3 linked regions of the Notamacropus eugenii genome follow. The protein of the gene in region 1 purifies or fractionates together with the protein of each later gene. This does not show direct contact. Links are inferred from orthologs where the notes say so. Each region holds a gene or a part of one and is shown in the gene's direction. Other genes may lie near its edges. The genes, in order: EIF2B1, EIF2B3 and EIF2B5.

Region 1 (10,634 bases):
GAGTCCCCATCTTATCCTTGTGACTAGACAGGGAGCTCTGGAAGGTGGGGACGGTCTCATTCATCTTTGTGTTACTGGGAGCGAACTACCTTGCACACAGGAGTCATTTAGTATAGAGCTGAGAAATTCAAGTAAACAGCTTTATTCCAAAAGAATTTAGGCAGAAACTAAAGTGTGAACACTAGGATGCTGCCATCTTGTATTTTTCCAAGGTCTTATTACATGCTGCCTTTCCTTTGAGTTACTTAATCAGTTTAAAGCCCAAAGGACCAAGCAATGTAAATGTGCTTAATAAAAAATTTTAATAACAGGAATTTTAAAAAGATTAATGAAGTAGAAAGTACTAAGAAATTCAAGAGGTAACTAATTCTCCCAAGGTTTCTAAATCTCCAACTCCTTTAAATAATACTCTCTTCCTGTCCAAAAAAAAAAAAAGCCCCTGAACTCCACTTACTTTTGGTCATGAGATCTTTAATCTCTTCGGTAATTGCTTCGTTTGCTGCAGTTAATAACTCATATTTTCCATCCTTACTACCTGAAGGATTATACTCTGCAGAGCTGTTGCCAGGATCACCAAATAAATCTCCAAATTTCCAGTTCTTTCCAGGATACAAAAATCGACTTTAAAAAAAGAAAAACAAATGAACAAACAAATGTATTAAATAAAGCCTTTTCCGTTTAAATTCTGCAGCAAAAGTCAAGACATTATGAGTAAAAAAGAATTCAAATTATAAAAATATTTCATTAAAGAAAATGAAGAGAACTTTGAAAATAGAATTCTCTTAGAGGAACTACAGGAGGATTATTTGGGGTTTTCTGAAGCCCAGCAGGATGGTATGTATTGTCTACTCTGGTTCTGACCTGTGAACCCATGAGCTTAGGGGACTCCCAGTGAGGCAATTCCCTCTGCCAATTTCAGTCACCAATTCTTCTGCACCTTAGGGTCTCACAGGGTTGTTTGGGGCACTGAGTCATTACACAGGTTGGGTCAAGATAGGATGGGTCAACAGGTGGGATTGGAACTTGAAGGCTAGTTCTTTCTCTGCTCTTTCTCGATATTGCCTCATTTGTCACATTCTTTTCATTTTCTCAACTTACAAAGAGAGGGCTTCATACTTTAACTTACAGTAAAACACATGAGAACTAACTTTTCCCCTGCACTATGTGAGTTATACCAGTGGCAGCCAAAGCCTAGCCCCTGACCCACCACATGGGGCCATAGCTGGGCTCCTGATGACAATGACAATGCCTGTCATTTATTTAGCTCTGCAGGGTTTGCAAAGCATTTTACTTACAATGGCCTGGTCATAAAAATGTAATGGGAAAAACAAATACGAGGCTGAGAAACAAGAGTTGTTTTATTTGGGTGCTATTTTAATTAGCTGATATCACCTACTGAGATTTTACTATGTCATAATATAAGAAATAATATATTTTTCTTCCTAATAATATTGTGGATATTAATTCATTCATCCTTTTATGTATCCCATAATAGCAAAAGAATATTTGTTTAGAAAGCACACAAGCTGCAAAAATGTTAGGAAACAGTAAAATATTTATTATAATAACCATACCTCTCTTGAATATGACTTGCTATCACAGCAAGTTTGTTGGAACGATTCATAAACAAGTGAGAATTTCCCATCACCATGACAGCATCTAGGCATTTTGACAATGTGAACTGTTGAAAAGGAAGAAATTAGGAACGATGATGGGTCCAAATCCTAATAGTGGAATCTAAACAAATTTTATCTAAAATCTATACTTAAATTTAACAACATCTGTAATTAAATAACCAAGGAACATAAGTTTTTGCAGGAATGCTCAAGTAAAAATATTTGAAAATTTCTGAAAATTGTATTTTTCTTCTTTCTCTTACATGTGACTATTTCTACCCATTACACTGAATAAACACTAGATTCCTGCAAAGCGTACAGCACCACACCTGGAAAACAAATATAACGTATCTTGAGTGTTCATAGTTTAAGTTACTGCTATGTGTGCACTAAATGCTTGCTTACTGATTTTAAATATCATAACATTCACAATTTAAATTCTGCATATCTTTTTCCACAAACAAATTCAAAAGAGTATATTGAGTTAAATGACATTTCAAGAGTCAAAATTCCTTATCTTAATTTCAAAATGGCAATTCAGATATTCAATTAAATTAGTATTAAGATTTTAAAAAGTAATCCTCAGCATAATGAACTTTACCTGAGATTCTTTCAAAGCTTGTTTTCCCCACCAAATTGGGTTTGTATCAACTATGATAACTAGAAGGTTTAATTCATCATCTGAAATCACAAGAAACATGAGAAAGATCAAAAAACAGTTAACATTTCCTATTTCACCAGTTTAATCCACAGCTCAATTACAACCAACCTGCTTATAAATATCTATTGTTCTACAGAAATGCAGGTTAAGAGGGTCTACACAGGGGAGAGGGCCAAGATCTTCTAAAAACCAGGATGAGGTCAGCCTATAGAAAACGCCATCTCTTCTCTCCTTGTACACCCAACGGTCCAACGCACTTGATGCCTGGAATTGTTTTTGTCATGAAGGCTAAAAGCTAGGAAAACTTATTTACCCTAAAGTGTTAACAACTTACTGGGTTATCCAAGTCACCTTTAGAGTTTAAGAGGAGAGGGCAATGCTTTGGGGCATCTCAAAAGCAAATCAGTTAAGGTGGAAATCCTGGTATAAGTGAGAAAAGAGATTTAGGGAGTAGAACTGGCTATCAGCTAGCCTTGATAAGGAGTCAATCAAAGGCCTTAAGCTCAAACCACCTACACCCACCCACACCCACACCCTCACCTACACCCACACACACACCCCCCCACCTCCCCCACACACATCCTTACATATATTTTGTATCTACTGGTACTGGTGCCAAGGCACCAGATATGCTTAATAAATGTTCACCAAATGAAGAATCAATGCAGAGACTTACACAAACCTTTGCTGTTCTCTGCGTATGATGTCACATCCCCTGCCTCTGGGCTTCTGTGTGCCTCCTTCCTTCTTACCTATACCACAAAAAATCCCTCACTTCCTCCAGAAAGTCCTTTCCTGACCCCTTAAGTGTCAGTGTTCTTGCCCCACTGAAATGGTTTTCTATTTATTCTATATTCTGGTTACAGCTTTTCCTCAGGATGCAGGGTTAAAAAGCAAAGGATTCCCATGTTCTACTATAAAAAGTGATTAGGCTGATCACTCAGGATATGAAAGGGGAATTTCAGACAGTTTTTTCCTCACAGAAATAAAAAAATGTCAGAACCGGAAGGGGTCTTGGTGACCATCTGAGGCAGTGTGGTACAACATACGGAGAATTACTAGAAAAACCTGCTTTTGACTCCTGGCTCTGGCACTTAGTCGTGGTGGGAGGGGGGACTCCCACTTTTTAACCCCTCAGGGTCTCTAACTCATCTTCTGTAAAATAAAGCTGTTGTACATAACTCAACAAGTATTCAGCAGACTCCTAAATGCCAGGTATCTGTGCAAGGCACTGGGGAGACAAGGGCAAAAGGCAATGATTGCTACTCTCAAGTGCTTACAATCTACTGGGAGGAAGCAACACAGATGGAGAAATCAGAGAAGGAAGAAATCTAAAATAATTTTTTAGGGGGAGGCAAGGCAAGGGTACTAACAACTAGGGAGATCAGGAAAGACCTCCAAGTAATGGTGGCGTCCAGTTTGGCCCATGAAGTAAGTTAGGGATTCTACAAGGTAGAAGTTAGGAGGAAAAGCATTCAGCATCATGTAGAGGCAGGAGGTGGAAGGAGGAAAGTAGGGAACAAGAAGGTAATACAGCTGGTAACAATGCAGAATGTCTAAGAGAGAGTAACATTCCATGACTTGGTAAAGATAGGCTGGAGCCAGATGGTGAAGGGGTTTAAGGGCTAGACGACTAAATGATCTCCAAAGTCTCCTACAGATCCCTGCACCTAATCCAAGCATTTCATTTTACAGATGGGGAAACTGAGGACGAGAGGGAAAAAGGGCACTCTTGCTATCCTCAAAGACTCCTAGAGCTCTGTACACTCTCACTGGCCACCAAACACTCTAACTGACCTATGTTACCTTATTCTTTAACATTTACTTTTAAAATTTTCATCCACATTTTTATTTTAATCTAAATTCTCCCTCCCTCCAGCCTTTCCCCCATCCACTGAGAAGGCAAGCAACATAATACTCATTATACATGTGAAGTCATGCAAAACATTACATGTCACATTCTTCACAGCAGAACGTAAATTTCTTGAGGGCAAGGACTACTGATATTTCTTTTAAATTAAAAAACGTCTTTCCAATTCTAATTTTTAACATTTAAAAAAAATTTTGAGTTCCAAATTCTCTCTCCTTCTTTCCCCTCCCCACTCCTTGAGACAACAAGCAATTTGATATGGGTTATACATGGGCAGAGAAACTATTGGCCTGTGAATCACTGGTACCCAGCACAGTGTATTTCACATAGTAACCAACGTGGTGTAACGGAGGGAGTGCTGGGCTAGGAGCCAAGAAGGACTGAGTTTGAATCCTGCTTCTAACGCTTCCCTTATATGACCATAAGTAAGTCACTTTAACAGAGGAATGATGCCCAAAGAAGCTGCCTCATGGGGCTCTGCAAGCCTGAAAGTAGCTGTGACTTGAATGATTTTGTAAAATCCCAGAGTTGGAAAGGGCTGACTGTGGCTTCTGGGGTGCTTCCCAAACTGGGGTGCTCAGTGCTCCAGATATCCCCTGGGAGCATCACTCCAGCAGACCTGAACACCAGGGGCCCCTCAGCTGTCCTCCATCTAATACCAGCAGTCGCCTCAATTCAATGCACAATTGCCTAGATCTTTCAAAAGAAACAAGTACCAACTGTGCTGAGACCCTCAGTTCTTTCTCCTATGAGCTGCAGACTAGCCAAGCACTGCCTCCCCTCACCCAGCGATACATAAAAGCTACAGAGCTGGCAGGGAGCCTAGAGGTTTAGTCCAATCCCTCGCTCTTCACTTTATCAATGAAGAAATTGAAACCCAGGGAGTGGATCTTGCCCATCTGAAGTGACTTGCCCAAGGTCACCCAGTTATAGTAAGTTTCAGAGGTCGGATTTGAACCCACGTCCTGTGACTCCAGAACTGAGACAAATGGCAGTAAGTGACCTGCCCAGAGTCACACAGCTAGTAAGTATCTGAAGAGGTATTTAAACTGAGGTCTTCCTGGCTACAACTGTAACACTATTGTTCTCTTTGTTTCTTTTTATCCCTAATGCTTGGCAACATTGTAAACGTTTGATAAGTGCTCCTTCATTCATTCATCATCCTGCAGCCCATGCAGGAAAGGACCTTAGAAGTCCTCATTCCAACTCATAGAGTTAATGAGCATTTATTAAACTGCCGTGGGCCACAGCCCGTGCACAGCACTGGGGATACCCCTACCCCCCCCAAAAAAAGGCAAAACAAAAAACCAGACAGCCCCCAAACAGAACACATGGGGCGAGGGTGGGGGCGGGGCATCACCAGCCTCCTCAAAGAAGACGAGGTCGCTCAGAGAGGTCACAGGACCGGAGGGACCCTCGGACACCATCTAGTCCGGCGGGTGCTTCGGGTCAAAGGTCCTTGACCTTGCTTGACCTCAATTTAATTGGGTTTCTTTGGGCATTTTATGCATTTACAACTTGACTCTGGAAGGGGGTTCCTAGGCTTCCTCAGGCTGGCTGGCCCATCGGAGCCTCGGGTCTAGAGGAGGAAACTGAGGCTCCGAGAGGGGAAGGGTCTGGGAAGCGTCGGATGGAGGGGTTGAATCTAGGCCGGGGCTCTCTCCCTCACCTTACAGGGGAGGAAACTGAGGCCCAGGAGGGGGACGAAAGGCCTGGCCCGAGCTTCCCTAGGTAGCTAAGCACCAAGAGGCGGGATTTGCACCTAAGTCTCGACCCTTCCCCTCCACAGCTCTGGGCCCCTCCAGGCGCTCTCCCCGCCGCAGCCCCCGGTCCGCTCCGCCGGCTCCGGGGCTTCCCTGTTTGCCCCAGGGCGCGCTCACCTTCGGAGATCATGGCGAACCTCCTGCGCTTCAGCGGAGAGCCGCGGGAGCCCCGCGGCCACCGTACTGTCCTGGCCTTCTGCGCAGGCGCGAGCTGTCGAAGGAAGTTTGGCCTCTACCGGCCGCCGTACACGCGGGCTGCTGGGAAATTGGGCCCGGCCCCGCCGTGGGCGGGCCGTGCGTGCCTCGGCCTGGACTATCAGTCACCGGGCCGGTCGCCCGGGATAGCTGTGGGGAAAGGCGGACGGCCTCGTGGCCGCGGCGCCATGGACGACTCGGGTAATGCGGGGCGGGCTCGCGGGACTCGGGGCGAAGGGGGCTGGAACCCGGGACTCCCCAGAGCGAAGGAGGGTGGGCTAGACCTGGAGGCCGGAAGACCTGGGTGTGAATCCCGCCCCGGACCTTTCCCCATTCGTAGAAAGGAGAGCACGCTGGATTTGGGCCTCAGTTTCCCCTTTTGTAGGATGAAGAGGTTGGACCGGCGGGGTTTAAGCTCTAAATCTGTGGAGGATCTGGGTCCAACCCCGGCCTCCCTGGGCCTCAGTTTACTCATCTGTAAAAGGGGTGGCCCAGGAAGTCCCTTCCATCTGCTGTATGTGCGCCTACACGCATGTACACGTGTGTATATGTACACGTGCATCCATGTGGGCGTGTGTCTGTGTACATAAGCGTGTGTATACAGATGTCCACGCATGCGTGCACATTCCGTCCCTGCACCTTCGCCGAGAGACCTTTCCAGTTCCCTCTGCCCATCACCCCAGTCTGCCCCCGCTGCGCCTTGTTTGTGCGCCACTGTTTGCACGCCGGACCGGGAGCTCCCGGGCTCCCTTTGGGCTCCTTCGCACTTAGGAGGCGCCTCTGAGTTGGGCTCTGCGTGCCGGGCACCGCCCTGGGCGCTAGCTGGCACCAGGAGTACCTTCGCAGGCACATCCAGAATAGGCACAGGGTCATTTCGGAGAGCAGGGAGGCTTCGTAATTCAGGAGTGATGACTCCGAGAGATTGGGAAAGGCTGCTGGATTGGGGGCCGAAGCCCCTCCGCCAAATGGGACCTCCCGACTGTCGGGCACTTTGCTTTTTCTGGGTCTCCGTTTCCTTAAGTGTGAGATAAAGTATTGCCCTCAGGGTACGAGCCTGTGGTGGCTTCCCCCGGGCACTCTAGGAATGCCTGGTATTACAGTAAGAGCGCTGGATCTGGAGTCACCCATCTGAATTCCTATACTCTTCTCCTCCGAAGTTTCTCTTCATTTTGACCTCCATCTGTAAAATGAGGGGTTTGTATTTCCTTACCTCTAACCCTGGGACTCACCCTAGGGGCTGAGGGTCCTCAGGCATCACAGGTGATGCTGTAGGTGATACAGCCTGCCGAATGAAACTTGACGTATTTCTTCCCATGGTCCCCTCCTTCCCAGATTTGATTGAGTACTTTAATTCCCAAATGAAAGAAGATCCTGATGTGGCTTCTGCTGTGGCCGCCATCCGCACCTTACTTGAGTTCTTAAAGAGAGACCAAGGTAAGACGATCTCAGTCAGCAGTTCCCCAAATTCCTTTCTCCAGGAAAAAAATGTTGGAAAGCCTTATGTGTCTGTGAGTTTGCATAGCCACATGCCCCTTCACTCTTGACTGTTCTCAATTTAATTTTGACCCAATTCCCAGTTATAATCAACTAACATTCAATAATTAAATACCTACTATTCACGGAGCATTATGCCAGGCTCTTAATAAGAAAGGAGACCTTGACTTTGTACTTATTTTCTTAGATAAAATGCATAACCTTTTCCATAGAATAGTGCTTTGAGAGCTCATTTGCAGAATAGAGATATACTGTAAATTTATTTGAGCATTTTCTGTTCCAAAACGTATTTAGCTCAAATCATTGTACTAGCAGAACAGATTTTTATTCTCAGATAAAGAAATTGGGTTCATGTACTTAGTAACCCCTTCAGCTTAATTCTCTGAGATGTGCCAATGACATAGACTTGACTGATTTCATAGAATCTCAGGTTACTTTTGCAAGGTGAGAGTAGCAGAATATTGTGGAAAGAACATTTGGAATGTCACTTCTTCTCAGGCTGTCAGCTTTCTCTTTCGTATAGTAAGAGATTAGATGCCTTCTAAGATTCCTTCCAACCCTAAATCCTAAAATACGGAGGAAGCTGTCGACTAAGAAATCCCTCTCTATTTCAGAGATCTTTGTTTGTAACATAATTGTCCTGTAAGATAAAAGGATGAATCAGTTTCCAAACGCAAGTTTTATTGTACTATTGAACTTTGCAGGAGGAACAATTCAGGGTTTGAGAGCAAATCTCACAAATGCCATTAAAATCCTGTGCAGCGTAGATTCTTCTGTGGCAGTCTCCTCGGGTGGAGAGCTCTTCCTTCGGTTCATCAGTCTCACCTCCCTGGAGTATTCAGTGAGTTCATGTCCTGTCCAGACTGCTTTTGTGCTTCTTTACGTGGCTCTGGACAGCCTCTACCTTGATTTCTCTTTCACTTTTTCTAGGATTACTTAAAGTGTAAAACAATCATGATTGAGCGAGGAGAGCTCTTTCTCAGGAGGATCTCACTTTCCAGAAGTAAAATTGCCGACCTGTGCCATACTTTCATTAAAGATGGAGCTGTAAGTGGAATCATGAGTTATCAGTGCTATGTGGGAGAAAATGTTGTAACGACTTATGTAATGAGGTATTGGGAAGGGCTTTGTGGCTCTGGGACTCAGGAGTAACAATTTCAGTTGGTGTTTTACTAGGATAATCAAACTTTGATGGTGCTTCCCTTAACCAGTATACATCCATGTCATCATATGTGCACATACCAGTTGTCTAATTACCTTCTGTCTCTTAAATACCTCCCTCTGAGTTTATCCCCTTTGAAGTACATTAGTAATTACTGAAACAATTCAAGGGCCATGGGTCGACTTGTACATCATCTCACCTGACCAGAAACGAGATCATTGACTTCCTCACCATCTCTCTGTTTCATCGAACACACACAGTCATGTTAAGTTATATAAGCCTTTCATTTATTAAATTCATTTTAGCATAGTTCATACATATCTGTATGTTCCTCTGCTTTGGTTTAATGATGTGTCCCGGTAAAATTCCTGTCCCTTCCTCAAGGTAGGGAGCATTTCATTTTTGTCCTTAGATTCCTGGCTCCTGACACAATATTTTCCACATAGTTGGTGCTTAATAAATGGTTGTTAAGTTCAACAAACATTTATAAGTTACTTTTATGTGTATGGCATGGCACTAGATCCTGGGGTTACAGAGGTCTGGGGCCCCATCAGTCTAACCAGCTTTGTGCGGCCTTGTTCATTTAACTCCTTAAGTTTTCGTTCCTCCTTCATTTTCTAAGAGGCCTGTTGACACCTAGCAGAGGTGGACCAAATAAAGCCTTTGGTCAGTGAACAGTGGAGGCTCTAACTAGGGTCACTCGGTCAGGGTTAGAATTAGAAGGGACTTTAGTAGTCATCTAGACCAACCCCCACATTTTCCAGATGAGGAAACTGAGGTGCAGAGGCGAAAAGTAATTTACCCAAGGTCTCACAGACTAAGATGCCGATCTGGGATTCAATTCCAGGATCACTCCAGGTACAGATTCTTAGGCTCATAGAGCTAGAAGATGTGTGGGCTCTAGTGAGGGCCACAGAGTCATGTACGGAGTCAGAAAAGACATCAGTAGTCTTCCAAACCAGTGATGTCAAATGGAAATAGAAAACATGTTGACATAGAAAACCACAATTTAACATTATGTTATGCTGTATTCTAGGTTTTGTTAAACTTTTCCCAATTATGTTTTACCTGCTTCCTTCCAAGTGACATCTCTGATCTAGATCAACCCCTTTATTTTACAGAGGAAAATGAGTCAAGTGACTTGCCTATGGTCACATGGGTGGCAGAGCATGAAACTAGAACTTGGACTACAAATTCACTGTTCTTTTCACTGTACCCACTGCCCCTTTCTGAAAGGGGAGGGGGGTGGTGGAACAAGGCAAGAGGAGACCCATCAATTTGTGGATTGTAGGATCTTTTCCAACCTCTTTCTTTCCCCCCTGGGCTGTCACCTTCATGCTTTACACACAAGGCTGATTTAGGAAAAGGATTATTTATTGGGAAGTATTGTACCATTGTGGCAAATGGAATCTAGATTACATCAGAATATCATGAGGCAACATGACCAGCTTTGTACCAGTTTTCATTTAATTAAAAGATGAAAACTCATTAAGCATTAAAATCTCTCCATTTGATAGAGGATATTAACTCATGCCTACTCACGAGTGGTGCTCCGAGTCCTGGAGAGAGCAGCTGCAGCCAAGAAACGCTTCAGCGTGTATGTCACCGAGTCCCAGCCTGACTTGTCTGGGCAAGTATCTTTCTAGTCTGTCATTTTAATGGCTGTTACTTTCACGTGTGAACCACATGTTGTCATCCATGTTGTTACTGGCCATGCAGGGCCCCTCTGTACCCCGGATGCACTGGGAGCAAAGGGCTGGGCTTTGGGGTGTGGCCTGAAGAATTTCCTCAGGGTTGCTTTGCAAGTGACCAAGAGATAGTAAGCTGTGGTAGAGAAAGTAAAGCTGTCCTTTTTGAGGGGAAAACCATCTTC
Region 2 (10,012 bases), on another chromosome or scaffold:
AAACAGGTTAAGTGACTTCCTTAGGGTCACACAGCTAGTAAGTATCTGAGCTGGATTTGAACTTGGGGCTTCCTGGTGCTTCATCCACTATGCCACCTAGCTACCCAGACAGAGCCACTTTTGGATATGATCCCACTCATGTAACAGAAAAAGTATGTGGCAATTACTCTTCTGGCGGCTCAAGGAGAGTGCTACCTGCTAGACACCTTTGATAGTATACCTATTTGCTGGATAATTACTACGGTGACGTGCTTCCATCATGTAGACTTAAGGAAGGCAGTCCAGGAGCCACGTTGTATTACCTACACTACAGGGCTGTTGTAGTTCCCAGGTGTCACATAAAAGACGCACAATTTATGGGAAAAGCACTTTGTAAACAATAAGTCACCAAAAATACGAAATATTTTTATTTTTGGAGGCCTACGTTATACTGCCAACACTTAACAGTTCCAGGTAAATTAATTAAGAGCCATCAGTGTCTAGAAAACTCCAGAGTGAAAATACAAGTATATGGTGGGAAAGGTTCTGGACTCAGAGTGAGGCAGTCTCTGTAAACAATTTATGACTTTGGGCCAAGTGCTGACCAACCCTGGGCTTCCTTTTCATCTCTGCCACGCCCCCCCCCCCATTAGAATGTGAACCCGTAAGGGTGGGGTCCATGGTTTTGCCTTTCTTTGTATCCCTAACAAGTAAGAGCTTAACAGATGCTTGTTAACTGACTAGATGACCTCCAAGGGCTGGTTTAACTCCCAGGTTGGCTATGACTTCCAGCCCAGCTGACACATGTTCCCAATTCACAGCTGGAAACATCACTGAGTCCATGAGATTGCTTCATTTAGGACAGATCTACCATTCTGAGACAGCAGGGGAAGCCACTAACATCATTCACATGTGTTTACAGAAGATTATTCCACATCCAATTAATGAAGGTTTTCTTCCCCCAGTTCTCCTGGAAGCAGTAAACAAATACCAGGAATCTGGTTACAGCTTTGTGATGAATCAATCCATTAGGCCATTCCTGGGCTAGGGAACAAAACTGAAAACACCAGTGTTTGAGGACTGGCATTTGGTCGACAAATTGGGCTCCTTTCTCCACCCTTTTTTTTTTGATCCTTGATCCAACAATCTGAAAACAATGATTCCTTTCCCACTGACTAGAATTCAACCAACTGGGGCTTACAGTGGGATGATAGGGTGGGCTCCAGGTCATGGTAAGAGGTTAGGCCCACAACCAATGATCCTTGGGTCTACAAGAACTTTTTGGCTGCCACAGAGGTCCCTTGACAGGCAAAGAAAGCCCCCTTCCCAGCAACCTGGGAGAGAATAAGGAATATGAAATAATCATGTAAAGCAGAAATCTATAGAATCATTTCATTAATTGCCTGGAAAAGCCAATGAGTTTCACATTAATGCTAGCAGAGGTCTGGGACAGAGGCCAAGCTCAGCCCAGATCTAATCTGCCGGGCCAGCCAGGTGTGGAAGTAGATAGGGACTCTTTGGGGGCCCTTGACACCACAGCTTTGGGGGCCTTTCCAAGAGCCTGTAATGTTGAAAATAAAACAAAGCTACAGCACCATGGGGAAAATTCCCAAATGTAAAACTGGGCTCCTCATTTTACTATTTCATAAACACATATTATTTCATAGACAATGAGGCATCATGGAGATTGCTAGAGAGTTACCCTTAAGTCTGGCCTCCCTGGAACTGAGAGTTTAATTTCTTTTGGCTTCCCTTTCTCCTTGCTGTTCTCTTCTGTGGATTTTTTCTTTCTTTGACTTTTTTTAGTCAACTCTTTTCCCCTGCCCAAGTCTTCCTCCTCTCCTACCAGAAAAAGCCAACAAAAAACAAATCATATCAGACATTTAAGGTTTGTTGGGAAGGAAGATTGCTATCAAGTTTCATTATAAAGCACTACCGAAATGTGAGGTAGCATTCTTATTTTCCCATCACATATGACTCAAGATTAAGAAATGAGTCCATATGATGCAAAACGCCATCCACATCCAGAGAAACAACTATGGAATCCGAATGCAGAATGAAGCAGACTATTTTCTCTTTTGTTATGTTTTGTTTTGTTTTCTCTCATTCATTTTAAGTCTTCTATGCAACATGACTAATGTGAAAATGCGTTTAATAGGAATGTATGTGTGGAGTCCATATAAGATTGCATGCCATCTTGGGGAGCGAGGAGGAGAAAATTTGGCACTTATGGGAGTGATTGTTGAAAACTGAAGACATTAATAAATTTGGAGAAAAAAAGAAATGAGTCCAAGGGCTTGTGGGAAAAACTGAAGCCTCAATGTTTTATACCATGAACAATTTCTTTAAGAAGAAAATCCAGGTATTTATATCAATATACAAATATATCAGCACTTAATTGTAGTCTTCTGGGGGAGCAGGGGGAAGGAATGGGAAAAAAGAACAAAGTAAAAGGGACATAACAGAGAATAAGGAAGCAAAGAAAAGATGGATAGCTCTCAACGCAACGTGTAGTATTTATTATACAGGCTTTCTTGAAATGGAAATTTATTGCTATATGTTTTGAATTCTTTTTTACATTCTGCTGTGCATATGATATCCTCTCTTTTTCTTATTTTGTAATTAAGTTTCAGTAATAAAAATATAATTGGAAAATATTTAATACAGTAAATGAAAATGTAATAGAAAAAAAAGAAGAAAATCTAGGGCACTAGACATGGAGAATTGCTAAATAACCACAAAAAATGAAATTGACTATATCTTAACAAAAAGGAAAAGACTAGTTACCAATATGGAAACATTCTAAAATCAACTATGTGTGTGCAACCAAACTAGCCATTTGTTAGAGCCAAGTTCAGAATTGAGAATAAAATTGAGAAGATATAGTGTGTTGCAATACAGTTCCGACCTGACCTATTTGAATAAGCATATTGACAATGAAAAATGAGATTGGAATAAAGGAACAGAAATTGGCATAGATCATCAATGTTTCCTAAGGAAGTGTAATTGATTTATGCAAATCGATCACCACGATGAAGTGGCTCAATGATTTGAGAAACTGCTGCAGCAAGTAAACATTTTCTCCATCTCATCAAGAGGGAGCAGTTTGGTGGCAAAGTGGATAGAGCATTAACCCTGGAATCAAGAAGACCTGAGTTCAAATCTGGCCTCAGGCACTAGAATCTAGGCAAGTCACTTAACCCCGTTTGCCTCAGTTTCCTCATCTATAAAATGAGCTGGAGAAGCAAATGGCAAAGCACTCCAGGATCTTTGCCAAGAAAACCTCAAATGGGATCAGGAAAAATCAGACACGACTGAAAAAAACAACTGAACTATATATATCTATCAAGAAAATCCAGCCAACAGGGAAAAGACAGGTTAGAATATAAACTCATTGGAAAATCTTACAGAGGAGGACAGTAGAAGATTATGAATCATATCACCTAACAAAACAGAAGAAATGGAGGGAAAATGAGTCTCTAGAAAGCTTAGGGAGTGACCCAGTTCCTTAAGAACATTTGAAAAGTAGAAAAGATCTGTCTTTAACAAACTGTTCTCTTCATCAGGAATTGTGGAACCACCACATTTGGACTCTAACTTAGTCCTTGGTGTGCTACATACATAAAGAACGAGGAAGAGCATTACCACATCTGTTGTCTAGAGAGAAAGAAGAAAAGGACTGACAGGTACAAAGACATTTATACTGGCTCCTTGTGGTGGCCAAGAACTGAAAACGCAGGGGATGCCCATCAATTAGGGAATGGATGAAAAAGTTATGGTATATGAATGTGATAGAATATTATTTTGCCATGAGAAATAGTAAAGGCGAGGGTTTCAGAGAAACCTGGAATGATTTGTATAAATGGAGCTAGAGGGAAGGGGGCAGAACTAGAAGCGATACAGTAACAACATGGTAAAGAAAAGTATCTTGGGAAGACTTCAGGACTCTGAGCAGCTCCAGGAGACTGATGGCAAAGTCTTCTTCCCAGCATAGTCCTGACAGAGGTGATGGATTGTGGGGTGGGTGGAATGAGGCACACACACAGCTCGGGACAGGGCCATTCCACCAGCCCAATAAAGGCAGAATCCGGAGGGATCCTGGGAGCTTTGTACACACAGAGTGGACAAGAGGGGCTGGACAAGATGAGACCAAGGCTCTGCACTGGCCAGAGAGAACAGTGAGCAGGTAGGGAGGGGGCTGGACTGCCAGCTGCTAAGAAACCTTAGCCTAGTGAGACGCAGGCAGGCATTTAGGGGGTCCCCTGGTGGGAGCATGTGAGGAGACGCAAGCCGGGCTGCTGGAAACACACAAGGGTCCACTTGGCTGTCGGGGTGAATGTGTTGCCACCTGGTGGACAAATCGGTCAGTTGTTGGTAAAGTGATGCCAGGCATTTCTGAAGCCTTGCAAACAGGACACAACTGCTCACCCGAGGGCAGTGGCCCGATGGGTACCTGGGACAGCCGCCGAGCGCCCAGCAGGGGGTCACACGTCCTGACAAACAGCTTACTCTCGCTGTGTTGCTTTCGTGGAGTGTGGCTTGTTACTTGGGCCGGCTCTGGAAGCTAGGGGTGCGCGCGAGATGGAGCAAGGGGAGAGGATCCCCCTCGGTACCTGGCCCAGAGTGGGGGGTCAGCGAAGGCTGGAGGGGTGGGCCGGCTTGGCGCTGCTGCCCCGGGACTCAGAGGTTTCCCACAGCCGCAGTCTGGGGCCGGTCACCCCGAAAGCGGGGCGATTGCGCGGCTTGGGAGGGGCCAGGACCGGCCGGAGAAGGGGACAACCGAGCCCCGGCCTGGGAAGCCGGGAAGTTCCCCGGCACTGCCGCTGCTGTCCCCGGGCCGGCCCGGCTCGCCTTCTCGGCTGCTCGGCAGGTGGTGAGCTCGCTGTCGCCGCAGGGTGCCCTCGGCGGCTCTGCACCCGGCTCCGAGGATCCGCTCCCCCCGCCCTCTCCCGCCTCCCTCTCTGCCCTCTCCTCCTCTAGCCGCAGGGATTCAGGATCCTCTGTTCGGCGCTCGCTTATTTTGGGCTGGTCCTCTCTCCTGGCCCCGCCCCTGGCTGATCGATGCGGAGTAGGCTCTCTGCGCAAGCGCAGTAGCCTCGTGGTCGCCATTGGGCTGTCAGTTTGGCGTGTGACTGGAGGCTGAAGGAGAGGTGAAGCTGGGGGTGGCCTGGGTGCTGTCTGTGTGTGAGGGCTCAGAGAGCCCGGGAGAGGGCACGATCGGAGGGCCGGGGAGCCCCGGGTCCTGGCTGGGGGGAGGGTCAGTCTGGGGGGCACCAGGGTCTCTAGGGGAGGGTCAGTCCGTGCAGCAGCCCTGGGGTCCCTGACTGGGGGGAGGGTCAGTCTGGGGGGGGGGCACCAGGGTCTCTAGGGGAGGGTCAGTCCGTGCAGCAGCCCTGGGGTCCCTGACTGGGGGGAGGGTCAGTCTGGGGGGGGGCACCAGGGTCTCTAGGGGAGGGTCAGTCCGTGTGGCAGCCCCGGGATCCCTGACTGGGGGGAGGGTCAGTCTGGGGGGGGCACCACGGTCTCTAGGGGAGGGTCAGTCCGTGCAGCAGCCCTGGGGTCCCTGACTGGGGGGAGGGTCAGTCTGGGGGGCACCAGGGTCTCTGGCCTGGGGGGAGGGTCAGTCCGTGCAGCAGCCCTGGGGTCCCTGAATGGGTCCATGGATGTATAATCTGTGAAGTGAGTAGGCTTGGTGGTCCCTGGCCAGGTCGCCATCTGCCAGGCTTGTGGCAGCGCCGCCTGGGGTCTTCCTCTGCCCCACCTTCCAATGTCCAGTGTCCAGGTGAGTCTGTGGCCTCTGAAGCCCATGGCCGGAGTTGGTGGAGCTCATCTGAGCTCAGTAGCACCAAGTCTTGCAGTGGTGCAGCAACTGAGAGAGGTGGAGCACTTGGATGGGCAGCTCTGCCAGCCTACCCCAGAAACTTCCCCTTTGGGCAGTGTTGTATTTGCAGAGGAGCCATTGGCTGCCCAAGGCTCAGGCTGGCATGGTGGTACCCCGATCTTTGTGGGGAAATCAGGAAAAGTGGTGTTTTAGCTAGGCTTTGAAGGAAGCCAGGAGGCAGGAGGCAGAGATGAGGACTGCCTTCCAGGCATGGAGGATGCCAGGGAAAATGCAGAGGTTTGGGAGATGGAGCATCTTGTGGCAGAAACAACCAGGAGGCTAGTGCAGCTCCATGGGAGGGGAGGGGGTGGCGATGGGGCAGGTCATGAAGGTCTTTAAACGCCAAACAGGATATTATTTTTTGATCTTGGAGGTGAACTTCTGAAACCACTGGAGTTTATTGAGGGTGAGTGTGTTTCTGTGACATAGTCAGACTTGTGCTTTAGGAAGTTCACCCAGGTACCTGAGTAGAGGATGAACTGCCTTGGGGAATGTGGCAGGAAGACCCACCTGCAAGCTGTTGCAGCAATAGTCTAGGCATAAGAGAAGGAGAAAGCCTGTACCAGGTGGGGGTCAAGGTGAGGTGGGGCTGTGTGTGAAAGCATGGGAGGGGAGGAAGGAGTACATGTTGTTCAGAGACAGTAAGAAGGGAGGATAGATAGGCCTTGGTAACTAATTGGATGTGGCTCCTCAGTTGAGGACCTGGGTGACTGGAAAAATGGTGATGCCCTCGACTGTAAGGGGAAACTCAGAAAGAAGGAGGGATTTTGGGGAAAAATATAATGAGTTCAGTTTTGGTCATGTTGTGTTTAAGATGTTTATGGGACCTTTGTAGTTGGAGATATCCAATAGGCAGTCAAAGATGTGAGTCTGTAGTTCAGCCAGGAGGTTAGGTTTGATTAAGTAGATCTGAAAATCATTTGCATAGATGATACTTGAATTCATAAGGAGATGATGAGATCACTAAATAAAACAGTATAGAAGGAAAAGAGAAGAGGATCCCAGGACAAAGCCCTAAGAGATAGCCACTGTGAGACATCTCCACTTGAGTGAAGAACTAGCGAAGGAGACTGAGGGCTGGTCAGATAGGTAGGAGGAGAACCAGCAGAAAATGGTGGCCTGAAAACCCAGAGAAAGAGATTATCAAGGAGAAGAGGGTGAAGGACAGTGTCAGATGCTGGAGACAGGGAAAGAAGAATGAAGACTGAGAAAAGGCCATGGGGGAGGGGCAGAGCCAAGATGGTAGAGTTGGACATTAAGGGATTGGACAACTAGTTGGACAACTTTGCTGGCCGCCTGGGAACCTTATCATCATTAGGGCAGTTAGGAGGAGTCTACATAGAGTGAGGTTAGGGTTTTTAGTGGATTATGTTGGATCATCTCCCAAAAAAGGGGGGGGGGTGAGAAAAAGGGTTGCCCTGGGAGAAAGGAAAAGGGAAAAGTAGAGTGGGGAAAATTTTCTCACATAAAAGAGGCTTGGAAGAAACCTCACTTTCATCAGAACTGGTTCAAAGAGGGAAGAATATGTGTACATGCTCAGTTGTGTATAGAAATCTATCTCACCTAAAGGGGAAATAAGAGAAGGGGATAAGAGATATGGGAGAAGGGGAATGATAAAAGGGAGGTTGGGTTAAGAGAGGCAGTCAGAAGCAAAACAGACTTTTGAGAAGGGACAGGATAAAAAGATAGAGAAGGATAAATGGAAGAAAATAACATGGAGGGAAATACACAGTAATCATAATTGGGAATGTGAATGGGATGAGCTAACCCATAATGGAATCAGATAACAGAATTGGTTAGAAACCAGAATTCAGCAATATGTTATGTTCAAGAGACACATTTAAAACACACATGAAAGACATACAGAATTAAAGAAATAGGGCTGGAGCAGAATCTAATACACTTCAGCTGAAGTGAAAAAAGGTAAGGGTAGCTATGATGGTCTCAGACAAAGCGAAGCAAAAGTAGACCTACTTAAAAGAGAGGACCAGAGAAACTAGAGTTTTCTGAAAGGTACCATCGACAATGAAGTAACATAAAAAATTTTTACACCAAGTTTCTCCAATAAAGGCCTCATTTTTCAAGTATATGAAGAACTGAGCCATATGTATAAAAATAAGAGCCATTTCCCAATTGATAAATTGTCAAAGGATATGAGCAGGCAGTTTTCAGAAGAAGAAATCAAAGCACTCTATAATCATGTGAAAAGATAGTTCAAATCTCTATTAATTAGAGAAAGGCAAATTAAACAACTCTTAAGTACCACCTCACACCTATCAAAAATGACAAAGGCATGCTCTTTGATCCAGCAGTATCACTACTAGGTCTGTATCCCAGAGAGATCAGAGAAAAAGGAAAAGGACCCATATGTACAAAAATATTTATAGCAGCTCTTTTTGTGGTGGCAAAAGATTGAATATCGAGGACTGGCCCTCCAGTTGGGGAATGTCTGAACATATTGTATCATGATTGTGATGGAGTACTATAAGAAATGACAAGGAGGGAGGTGATTTCAGAAAAACATAGTAAGACCACTATGAAATAATGCAAAGTGAAGTGAGCAAAACCAGGAGAAATTGTGCACAGTACCAGCAGTGTTTATAAACACACACACACACACACACGTGTATATACACATATATATGTATATACACACATATATACACATACACACACACAAACTTGGCTACTCTAATCAATATAGTGTTCCAAGACAATTCCAAAGGATTCATGATGAAAAAATTCATCATGAAAAAAATCCTCTCTCCAGAGAAAGAATGATGAACTCTGAATACAAATTGAAGTATAATTTCCTTTTTTTTGCTTTGTTTTATGATATAGCTAATATGAAAGTATGTTTTGCATGATATTAATTAATATCATGATATAATTGATGCATTGTTTGTCTTCTCAGTGACTGAGAGAGGGGTAGGAAGGAGGGAGAGAATCTGCAACTCAAAATTTAGAAAGAAAATGCAAAAATCAAATTATAGATATATGTATATATGAGAAAAGACCATTGAACATCATTGATAATTGTAAAGAGAGCAGTTTCTGTTGAATGATGAGGTTGGAAAAGAGATTACAGAGTTAAGAAGAGAGTGAGAGAAAAGGAAATGGAGGCACCTATTGTAGACAGCCTTCTCAAACAGTGTAGTCACAAAACTGAGGGAAGATATGGGACCATACATAGCTAGCAGGGATGGACAGATCAAGTGTGGGTTTTTTGAGGATGCCTCTCAAACGCTGCAGCCAGGCCATGTGTTTGGGAGGCAACCTGACTCGGTGGGCCTGGCCTGATTGCTAAGGATCCTTCTTCCAGTTCTCAGGATGTCCCTTTACGCTGGAAAGGGCAAGTTGTCCTTGTACTTGCATCTACCTAAGATAGGGAGCCGCATTCCCCTTTTGGAGCAGAGGAAGCTGAGCCAGAGAGGTTAAGGGACTGGCCCAGGGTCTTGCAGCAGATCACACTCCTCTTCAGACACAGGATTCCAGCCCACATCTTCCCTGACTCTTGGATAGAACTTGAGAGCCCAGTGAATTCTATGTATGGTTTTAGTTCTTATTTCCCATACTGGGAGTTTCTGGTGGCACCCACTGATTTATAGATGGCTAAAAGGAAAATTGAGTGAGTGCATTCTGGTGTGCTTCAGATTTCATTACAAACTGGCCCTGTTGACTTCCTCTCTCTTTGTGTTTTCAGGTTGGAAACATGGAGTTTCAAGCAGTGGTGATGGCTGTGGGAGGGGGATCCCGGATGACAGACTTGACTTCCAGTGTTCCCAAACCCCTGCTCCCTGTTGGCAATAAACCTTTGATCTGGTACCCGCTGAACCTGTTGGAGCGCATTGGGTTTGAAGGTAAGCTTGCTGCCTACCATGAAATCCTGTCATTGGGCCCTACGTACTTTGGGCCCTGTAATTTGTCAGATTTACAAAGGGCTGTGAGCAGGGAGTGAAAGGAGAGAGTGGAGCTTCACCACCTGCTGAGTCAGAGGCTCCCCAGAGATGCCTCTGTGGCACCTAGTAAAGGAGCTTCAGGAAGGGGCTCTTGGAAGGCAGGAAATGCACTGTTTTCACCTCTTCAGAGACCAGCCTTAAACTTTTCTTGGCAAAAGTGACTCCCCTCCCCCTCCCCTCCATGGGAGAAGTG
Region 3 (9,976 bases), on another chromosome or scaffold:
CAAGACATGGAGGGCATGATGAAATGCCAAATAAATAATATTGACTTTATTAAATTGAAAGTTTTCACACAAATGAAACCAATGCAACCAAGATTAGAAGGAGAGCAGAAAGCTAGGAAACTATATTTACAGCAAGTGTCTCTGATAAAGGCCTCATTTCTTAAATATATAGAAAACTGAGTCAAATTTATAAGAATACAAGTCATTCCCCAGTTGATAGATTGTCAAAGGATATGAAGTTTTCAAATGAAGAAACCAAAGCTATCTATAATCATATGAAGAAATGCTCTAAATCACTTTTGACTGGAGAAATGCAAATTAAAACAACTCTGAGGTACCACCTCACATCTATCAGATTGTCTAATAGGACAGAAAAGGAAAATGATAAACCTTGAAGAGGATGTGGGGAAATTGGGGCACTAATACACTGTTGGTGGAGTTGTGAACTGATCCAACCATTCTGGAGAGCAGTTTGGAACTATGCCTAAAGGGCAATCAAACCTTGCATATCCTTTGATCCAGCAATACCACTACTATATCTATATTCCAGAGATAAAAAATAAAAAAGGAAAAGGACCTACTTGTACACAAATACTTATAGCAGCTCTCTTTATGGTGGCTAAGAATTGGAAATTGAGGGGATGCCCATCAATTGGTTCTGAATAATCTGTAGTATATTAATGTAATGAAATACCATTATGCTATATGAAGTGATGAGCAGGTAGATTTCAGAAAAACCTGGAAACTGATGCAAAGTGAAATAAGGAGAATCAGAACATTATACACAGTAACAGCAACACTGTGGGATGATCAGCTATGAATGACTTAGCTTTTCTCATCAATGGAATGATCAAAGAGAACTACAGAGGACTCATGGCAGAAAATTCTATCTACATCCAGAGAAAGAACTGAATGAACTCTAAATACAGATCAAAGCATGTTATTTTAACTTTATTTTTTTTCATGGTTTTTTCCCTTTTGGTATGTTTCTTCTTTCACAACTATAAATAATATGGAAATGTTTTACATGACTGCCCATATATAAGCTATATCAAATTGCTTACTGTTATAGGAAGAAGGGAGTGGAGGCAGGGGGAAAGAAAAATTTGGAATTCAATATTTTGTAAAAATGAATGTTAAAAATTGTCTTCACATATAATTGAAAAAAATACTCTTTTAAAAAAGGACCCTTCCAGTATCCTTCAAGACCTTAAAACCACCTCCTCCTTGAAGCCCCTGATAAAGTAGCACTATTTACTGTAGTAAAGAGACTACTGAATTTAGAGATAAAAGATCTGAGTTTTAATCCTGGATATGCTACTTAACTCATTGTGTAACCTTATGTAAGAAATTTCCCCTCCTGGACTCAGTTTCCTCTTCTGTAAAGTGAGAGGATTGGACCAGGTGATTTCTAAGATTTCTTCTAATTTTAAATCTGTGGTCTTATAATCCTATGAATGCCCTGAGGTCCTGTTAAAATTCTTGCTCTACAAACCTTTTCTATTCTTCTGAGTTTCTGTGTGAGGTGTTTGAAATAACTCATTATGTAAATCATCATGATCTAGACTCCCACCAATGCAGGACATTCTATTTACAGACCATGGAAGAGTCTAAGTCAAATAGCCGATTATTTAGTTAGGACAGAATAGCAAGGTGGATAAAAAAAATAAAGAGGCAACAGAATCTTTCTCAAGGTCAGAAAGACCTTCAGATCTGATCTCAGATACTTACTAGCTGTGTGACCCCAGGCAAGTCACTTAATCTCCTTTTGCCTCAGTTTCTTCAAATGTAAAATGGGGATAATAAGTGTAGCTACCTCCCAGGTTGTTATAGGGATCAAATGAGATATCTGTAAAGTATTTCATGCACTGCTTAGTACATAGTAGGCATTTAATAAATGCTTGTTTCCTTCCTTCAGGGTCTATATGTGACAACTGTAGCTTGTAACATGTTCAGTGTAGTAGATCATCTCCTACGACATCAGAGGGCTCCAGTTCTCCCCAATAGACTTTGAGCTAATTAGGAGCAGGGACTATCTTTTTCCTTTCATTGGATGGCTAACACTTAGCACCTGGCACTCAGTGTATCAACAAACATTTACTAAGTCTACTGTGTTCCAAAAATTGTACAAAAAAAGAAATCTCTTCCTCAGTGTGGGGCAGGAGAAAGGAACTGGCTCTAGAGTCAAAAGTCATGGGTTCAAATCCTCCTTCTGACACTATGTGACTTTCACTTTAGGGGACAGCTAGGTGGTGCAGTGGATAGAGCACCAGTGCAGGAGTCAGGAGGACCTGAGTTCAAATCTCACCTCAGACACTTGACACTTACTAGCTGGGTGACCTTGGGCAAGTCACTTAACCCCAGTTGCCTCATCCTGGGTCATCTCTAGTCATCCTGATGACTATCTGGTCATTGGATTCAGATGGCTCTGGAGAAGTGAGGCTGGTGACCTGCCCAGACCTCCCTCACTCAAAACAAAGTCAAGTGCAAGTCATGTCGTTATTTCTCTGATGGCATGGTCTTCTTCGGCAACGAAGGATGAACACACACAAAAAAAGAAAAAAGTTAGACACTCCCTACCTTCAAAGACCTTAAGACAACACACAAAAGGAAATTGAATTGGAGGAGAGAAGGAGGTATGTGGTGAGGGAGTATGATGGAAAAGTCCAAATAAGAGCAAAGAGGTAGGAAATAAAGAAATGACTGGTGGAGCGGGTGCTTCTTAAGTGGAAGTTTGGGGAGGGAGTTCATCTCTCTGCCCTCAAAGATGAGGGCTTCCAGGGACAATGGGTTGCCCATGAGGTGTCAGAACCAAGACCAACTTGATTGGCACACAGTAGATACTTAATAAATGCTTACTGACTGACTCCAGCTCTGGCTCTCCACCCAGAGTAATATAGGAATGCCCAGTACCTTCTCCAGGCAAGTCCTGCTTAGCTTTGCTCCCATCTTTCTTTTCAAAGTTCTGCCTTCTGACAAAATTTCTGTGTCCAGACGCAAATCTGCTGGGATTCTCCCATCCTGAGACTTCCTCCAGGGAATATTAGCACCCTTGCCTCTCTGTATGGATACTCAAAGCCACACCAGAGAGCTTCATTAAAGGTATAATAAGGGCTTCTCATGGAATATGCATAAAGTTGTCCTTCCTGCTTGGGTGCAACCACGCCTGTGACTCCTTGTGGGAACTCAGCACTGAAAGGAGTTTGTGGTTTGGTAGGATATGAAAGGTCGGTAAGGGTGGGGATGGGGATGAGGTAGGCCTTGGGTGCCATGTCAGTTAAAAAGTAGAGGTAGCTTCTGACTCATTCTCTTCCTTTTTCTCTCCCCTGTGACAAGTAGTGATAGTCTGTCTATAGACTTTTAGTGAGGGAATGAGCAATCCGTGGTACTCTCCCCACCTCCCTGTCCCTGCCCTTTAGCCACTCCCACATAGAGTCTAGACTCAACCAAGCAAGTTTGCTTCTGGGCCCCTGGCTGCCTTTTCTCTCTCATGTTTCCCTTCCTGAATAGGTAATAATATCTTTCTTTAAGTGAAAAGTCTATAGGTCTTCAGTCCATTGAATAGAGCTGAGTGGTAACAAGGGAAGTTTCTGCATTACAGAAGACTGATAAGAGAAGGAGCCCAGGTCCCTGGCCAGACTTTGAGGGAGAGAGTGCAGAACCGAGGTGAAATGTGGGATGCCTATTTGGCAGCGCTACAGATTGCTTTATATCCTGATGAGATTTAAGGCTCAGCCTCCCAACAGATTGTAACTGTAGTTTGGCTTCCCAAACGCTATCACTTTCCATGCTTCCAGAAATCCATGGCCTCATCCATGTGGGCATTTCAGTCACAAGTGAAGATTATAACCCATATCCCCACCCCCTTCTTATCCTGAGCAGTTCCTACTCTGGTCCTTCCATAACCCCTCTGTGGAGGATCTGGACTGCAGGCTTTTTTCTTGGCCTTTTACTGGTTTATATTTCTAAAGCATCAGCTTAGATGTCTCTCTAGTCTCTGATGTTCTTCCAGACTCTTCCAGTCTGCCCTATTTTCTGATCATTCCTGAGATCCATCCAGGGAACTATTTTCCTGTCTTCCTTCTTCAGTACAATTTTCTCCCCATCTCCTCCAAATTACCTAGACCAGGAGTGGCCTTTCAAGACTGAGTCAGAATTTTATAGAGCAAATCCTTTTATTAAGGGGATTTGTCCTTTGAAGTTTGGATTCAGTCAAAGGATTGCACTTGGGGATCTAGAGGGTCACACATTCCCTACCCCTGATCCTAGACTATAAGCTTTCTGAAAAAAGTGGAGTACACTCTCTATACTTTTATCCTAAGAACTTGGCATGGTGCCCTGCATGTAATAGGAGCTTAATAAATGCTTATTGATTGATTTGTATAATCAGATAGATTATGGCCGTGGTATAGAGACAGAAGGCCAGGGTGTGTTCCTAGGGAAAGACTGGAATCTTAGGGCTTGAGTTCAAATTCTGCAGCGTAATACCTGTACAACCTTAAACATATCACTCCCCCAGTTTCCCTGTGCATCAAATGAAAAGGTTGAGCTGGAATCTCACCTTTAAGTCTCTTCCAGTTCTAAATTTCTGCTCCCTGAGCCCCTGTAAAATGGGAATAATATCACCCTTCCAGGGTTGTTGTATGGAAATAGAAAGGGAAGTCACTACTATCTCTGGGTCCCGTACTGTGGAGCCTGCCATACACACACACACACACACACACACACACACACACACAAAGTTATTGCTGTAGGTCCTTAATTTTTGAAGAGGGTCAATGACGTCACGTTCGTGTGTGAACTGCATCAAAGCGAAGCGGGGTTTGCCTCACTCTCTCCTCCAGAGCCATGCACATGAGCCATGCATCTTCTCGGCTTGTGGGTTGAAGAAGTAAATGACCAGGTGAAGGTCAAAAGACTACAATTCCCAGAATGCTGCTTCGGACCCATCCACAAGCCCTGTACTGCAGTGCGCACGCGCACTTCGGCTTTTCCTTGTCGGGACTGCAGAGTGTAGCCCCGCCCCACCCTTCTCCCCGGAGGCTGGCCGGCCTGGCTGCCGGCCGGAATGCGCATGCGCGTGACTGCTTGACCCCTCTCTCCCTGCTCCCCAAGGTTCACACTCGCTAGCACACGCGCTTTACCTTTGGTAGTGCTTCGCGCTCGTGCTCCCGGCTCCTTTTTGTCCCTTCTGGACCACGGTGGAAGCGACCGGCCGCACGGAAGCGGCAACAGTTGGCGAAGATGGCGGCTACGGCGGCAGCCTCCCGGGGAGGCAAGCGAGGCGGCGGCGGTGGTGGGCCGGGCGGCAGCGGGGCGGCGGGCCGGGGAGCCGAAGAGGAGGCGCCGCCGCCCCTGCAGGCCGTGCTGGTCGCGGATAGCTTCAACCGCCGCTTCTTCCCCATCTCCAAGGACCGGCCCCGGGTGAGCGCTGGGGAGGGAGAGAGGGGAGACCCCGGAGAGCGGAAAGCGCAGGGCGGGGAGACCGCGGAGCGCGGAACGGGGGAGACCCGGGAGCGCAGGGCAGGGAGACCCCGGAGCGCAGGGCGGGGAGACCGCGGAGCGCGGAACGGGGGAGACCCGGGAGCGCAGGGCAGGGAGACCCCGGAGCGCGGAGCGGGGGAGACCGCGGAGCGCAGAGCGGGGGAGACCGCGGAGCGCAGAGCGGGGGAGACCGCGGAGCGCAGAGCGGGGGAGACCGCGGAGCGCAGGGCGGGGAGACCCCGGAGCGCGGAGCGGGGGAGACCGCGGAGCGCGGAGCGGGGGAGACCGCGGAGCGCAGGGCGGGGAGACCCGGGAGCGCAGGGCGGGGAGACCCCGGAGCGCAGAGCGGGGGAGACCGCGGAGCGCAGGGCGGGGAGACCCCGGAGCGCAGAGCGGGGGAGACCCGGGAGCGCAGGGCAGGGAGACCCCGGAGCGCAGGGCGGGGAGACCGCGGAGCGCGGAACGGGGGAGACCCGGGAGCGCAGGGCAGGGAGACCCCGGAGCGCGGAGCGGGGGAGACCGCGGAGCGCAGAGCGGGGGAGACCGCGGAGCGCAGAGCGGGGGAGACCGCGGAGCGCAGGGCGGGGAGACCCCGGAGCGCGGAGCGGGGGAGACCGCGGAGCGCAGAGCGGGGGAGACCGCGGAGCGCAGGGCGGGGAGACCCGGGAGCGCAGGGCGGGGAGACCCCGGAGCGCAGAGCGGGGGAGACCGCGGAGCGCAGGGCGGGGAGACCCCGGAGCGCGGAGCGGGGGAGACCGCGGAGCGCGGAACGGGGGAGACCCCGGAGCGCGGAGCGGGGAGACCCGGGAGCGCAGGGCGGGGAGACCCGGGGAACGCTGAGAACGTAGTGAGGAATACCTGGAGAGCACGGGGGTGGGAGCAGGGCACTTGTGGAATGCATTGGTGAGAGACCAGGGATCTTAAAGGAGCTGGGAGTGGGGTGACCCTGCGGCAGAGTACTGGAAGGGAGGAGAGCCCCCTCTCCCCTGCACAGGGGAGAAGAGGATCCCAAGGAGCAGAGAGGGGCAGCTCCTTGCTGCAGTACCCCAGAGATTGAGGTGGGCACCCAGAGTCAGGTGAAAGGGGGTGGGGGTGTGCCCCTGCTAGTTCCATATGGTATCTATGGACATGTTCTCAAACCGCCCTGGTCAGGGGACGTAGGGGAGCACTTTTACCTCCTCTGTACTATGTACATAGACACTCTGTGCACACATCCCCAGAAGAGGCTCAGCCAGGCCTGATCAGATCTGCTGATACATGCACTCACTGCTCCCATATCCGCTCCTAGGCTGAGCCTTACCCAGGGGCATTATATTGACATCTGATTGTCAGGGAGAGGGACAGGCTTCCTGACAGCAGGTGGCTAGGGACCAAGAAACCGATTCCCTTACCTGAAGGATCTGCAGCCTTGGGGACACTTGGAAACTCTGGGGGTGGGAGAGATTTGGGATCATCTGAAGACAGCCCTTGGCCCTCTTCTCACCCCCCAATCTCACATGGGGAAGCTGGACTTCTAGCACAAAGATGAACGAAAAGATGGATGGTTCACCTTTTTCTGGTGGTGACCAGTTTACAAAGCAAGACCGTAGAGGGGGTCACAAATTGTTTTACAAATGAGAGAACAGGGGGGTCCTATTGACCAAGCAGCTTGCCTCCAATCCCACTGTGAATGTATGGCTAGTGTGGAAAGTCTAGTCTCTTTTCACTCCCAAGGATGAAGGAGGGAGGAATGAGGAGCTAGTTCAGGTGCTTTCTGGCCCCAGGAGGAACAAGTCCTAGTGGCTTTTACTAGTTTCCAAAAAGAAGCTTTGTAAAATAAATTTTAATTGATTTTTTAAAATATTATTCACATGTCCAGCTGTGTCTGTCCCTTGCCTGGGAGACATCTCTTATATAATAAAAAAGTTCAGCAAAAGCAGCTCCCGTATGGGAAAAGTCTGCCGCTGTGTTAGGTGTTCCCCACCATGGTCTCCTGCCTCTACCAGGCAAGAGGCGGAGGGGTATCTTCTGTCTCTTCCTTAGTGCCTCCCTTGGCTTTCATCATTTCAGAACTCGTGAGTCAGTTGTACTGTTCTTTCCATTACATTGTTGAAGTCATTGGATAGAGTTTGCTGGCTCTGTTGACTTCATTTTTTGTCAGTTCATATAGATTCCTCCATGCTTCTCTGTTCATCAGCAGGGGGAAACTGTCAGGGGTAGGGAACCTGTGGCCTTCAGGCCATATATGACCCTCCAGGTCCTCAAGTGTGGCCTTTTGACAGAGTCCAAGTTTTACAGAACAAATCCTTTTATGAAGGGGATTTGTTCTGTGAAATTTGGATTCAGTTAAAGGATTGCACTTGAGGACCGGGGAGGCCACGTGTGGCTTTAAAGGCCACAGGTTCTTCACCCCTGTAAGGTGAAGGAAAACAAAATCTCATTCTGCTGCAGGAGAAATGGTTATAATTCTGAGCACATATAGGAACTGTGTGTTCTCACGGGTGAGAGGGTTAAATTGACCTTAGCTTCTGAGGCCCAGCTGCTGGAGCCCTCTATTAAAGATCATTTCCTATTCCCTCAACCCTTCTGCTGGACAGTTGGGAAATGTTCCAGGGCCAGTGCTTGGGGCTGGTTGGCCCTTAGTGCCTGCAGGGAGCTCTTAGACCAGAAGTAGGTGACCGCAGCCTTGGCTCCCAACTCCTATGTTACCCTTCACAGCATTGAATGGGTTTATTTTGTTTTGTTTTGGTCTGGATCTGTGATGATGGATCACAGAGAAAGGTGGAGAGGATGGGAACAGCCTCTTATCCAACACCTCCTTTTGTAGATGAGGAAACTGAGCCCCAGCACAGTGCAGTGCTGCTCAGGGCCAAGTGGGTAGGCAGGCTGGGATTTGAACTGGAATCTAGGAATGGCCAGTTCCACAGTCTTCTCATATGGCTGGAGAAATCCTTGGGAAGGGGCCTCCCTCTGGCTCTTTGCCTAGCCAGCTGGGTCACCTGGGCCACCAGCTTGGGCAAAGGCCGGGCATGAACCCAGGAATGACTTCCTGGATCCAAAGCGATCACTGCCCACTGCACCACTGTACCTCTTCGGGATGTTCCTGGCAATCGAGGACAAGGAAGGAAGCTTGAAAGGATTGAGGCCTTGGGTTCTGCTTTTGTGTGACAGATTGTGGTAGAAGGACAAGAGAAAATGTCCTCCCCCCACCCCACCCCACTTCCCTGAGGTGACCTGGAAGGCATGTTGGAAGATGAATTACTCCAAGCTTCCCTGCTTGCTCCCTAGAAGTTGGTCTGCAGAGTTTCAGGAGAGGCAGTTCCTGGACGCAGAATAGAGAGAGGGGATCCCAGATGCTTCTGAATAAGCAGCTGCTTTGTTCTGGCCTTCCCACAAGAAGCTGGCATTCAGCTCAGGGCCTTTTCAGGGGACTGGAAACCTTAGTGAGAGCTGAGGAGAGGAAGATGGTATTTACGAGCTACCCCCCAACTAAGGCTTTCTCTTCTCCGCTCCTCAGGCCCTCCTGCCCTTGGCCAATGTGGCCCTGATCGACTACACTCTGGAGTTTCTGACTGCCACAGGGGTGCAAGAGACGTTTGTGTTCTGCTGCTGGAAGGCTCCCCAGATCAAAGAGCACATACAGTAAGATCCTGGCCCTTCTCAGTCCTTTCTAAGTGGGACAGTCACAGGTTGGGAGGGGAAGGGCCATCCATTCCCAACCCCTAAGGATGCCTGTTGCTGGCAGAGAAGAGTAGAGCCTGGAGCACTGAACTCTAGAGGCTGTTTTTGTGTCTCCCCCAGGGAGCTGCTGGTCTGCCAATGACCACCTCTTTTCCTTATTTTTCCCTACATTCCCTCTCTTGTTCCTTGGGAAAGGGCAAGTCCCTGGATGCTTCGAGCACGGGGAGGTGAGAGACGAGACATGTGTGTATATATATACATAGAGTCCTGTGACATGGAATCCTAGAGTCCTGTCACTCCCATTTAACAGATCAAAAGACTGAGATTCAGAGAAGTCACACAGCTAATATTAGAGATGGGATTTAAAATCTGATCTCTGAATTTCAGCCCTGGTGCTTTCCCCACTGAAACGCGTGCTGCCTCTAATGTGGGCCTTTGACTGAGAGATGACTCTGAGCCCCCTCTCTGCCCTGTGGTCTCAGGGGCCATGGCACACCGGGCAGAATGGGAGTGTTGTTCTCTGTCCAGCCTATAAAAGAAGGCTGGTGACACCCAGGAAACTGGAAGTCATAATTAGAGTCTGCAGAATTCTTTGAAGTTGGGGACGCTCCGCCAAGTAGGTGGGAGCTTGGAAAACCACTGAGAAGGGCTTTAGCTCTTCTCAGTCACCATACTGGCTGAAAGCCTGCCAGGTCAGCTTGGATTTTGAGCTCTTAGAGCCCCCACATTGTAGAGCAGGAAATGAGGCCTGGAGAGGCTCAGTGACTTGCCTGAGTTGACAGGTAGCTGGGCTGGAATTCAGACACAGACTTCTCCCTGTATCACATGACAA

What was found.
Region 2: the proteins of EIF2B1 (region 1) and EIF2B3 purify together in Homo sapiens (affinity purification with mass spectrometry; 7 studies listed by BioGRID and IntAct, counting the BioPlex papers as one, with this or other methods). This does not show direct contact. The link is inferred for Notamacropus eugenii from reciprocal best matches to the Homo sapiens genes EIF2B1 and EIF2B3.
Region 3: the proteins of EIF2B1 (region 1) and EIF2B5 purify together in Homo sapiens (affinity purification with mass spectrometry; 7 studies listed by BioGRID and IntAct, counting the BioPlex papers as one, with this or other methods). This does not show direct contact. The link is inferred for Notamacropus eugenii from reciprocal best matches to the Homo sapiens genes EIF2B1 and EIF2B5.

The regions. Positions count from the first base shown.
Region 1 is NC_092875.1:38,932,660-38,943,293, reverse strand, and holds the start of EIF2B1 (translation initiation factor eIF2B subunit alpha), read left to right. Parts: upstream 1-6,038; coding exon 6,039-6,306; intron 6,307-7,437; coding exon 7,438-7,539; intron 7,540-8,303; coding exon 8,304-8,440; intron 8,441-8,529; coding exon 8,530-8,646; intron 8,647-10,278; coding exon 10,279-10,395; intron 10,396-10,634. Other genes in the region: GTF2H3 (general transcription factor IIH subunit 3), read right to left, coding at 455-621, 1,575-1,681, 2,218-2,297, 6,028-6,040.
Region 2 is NC_092873.1:506,430,029-506,440,040, reverse strand, and holds the start of EIF2B3 (translation initiation factor eIF2B subunit gamma), read left to right. Parts: upstream 1-5,696; 5' UTR 5,697-5,746; coding exon 5,747-5,761; intron 5,762-9,563; coding exon 9,564-9,720; intron 9,721-10,012. UniProt on the Homo sapiens protein: Acts as a component of the translation initiation factor 2B (eIF2B) complex, which catalyzes the exchange of GDP for GTP on the eukaryotic initiation factor 2 (eIF2) complex gamma subunit.
Region 3 is NC_092873.1:57,222,729-57,232,704, reverse strand, and holds the start of EIF2B5 (translation initiation factor eIF2B subunit epsilon), read left to right. Parts: upstream 1-4,981; 5' UTR 4,982-5,244; coding exon 5,245-5,424; intron 5,425-8,980; coding exon 8,981-9,105; intron 9,106-9,976. UniProt on the Homo sapiens protein: Acts as a component of the translation initiation factor 2B (eIF2B) complex, which catalyzes the exchange of GDP for GTP on eukaryotic initiation factor 2 (eIF2) gamma subunit.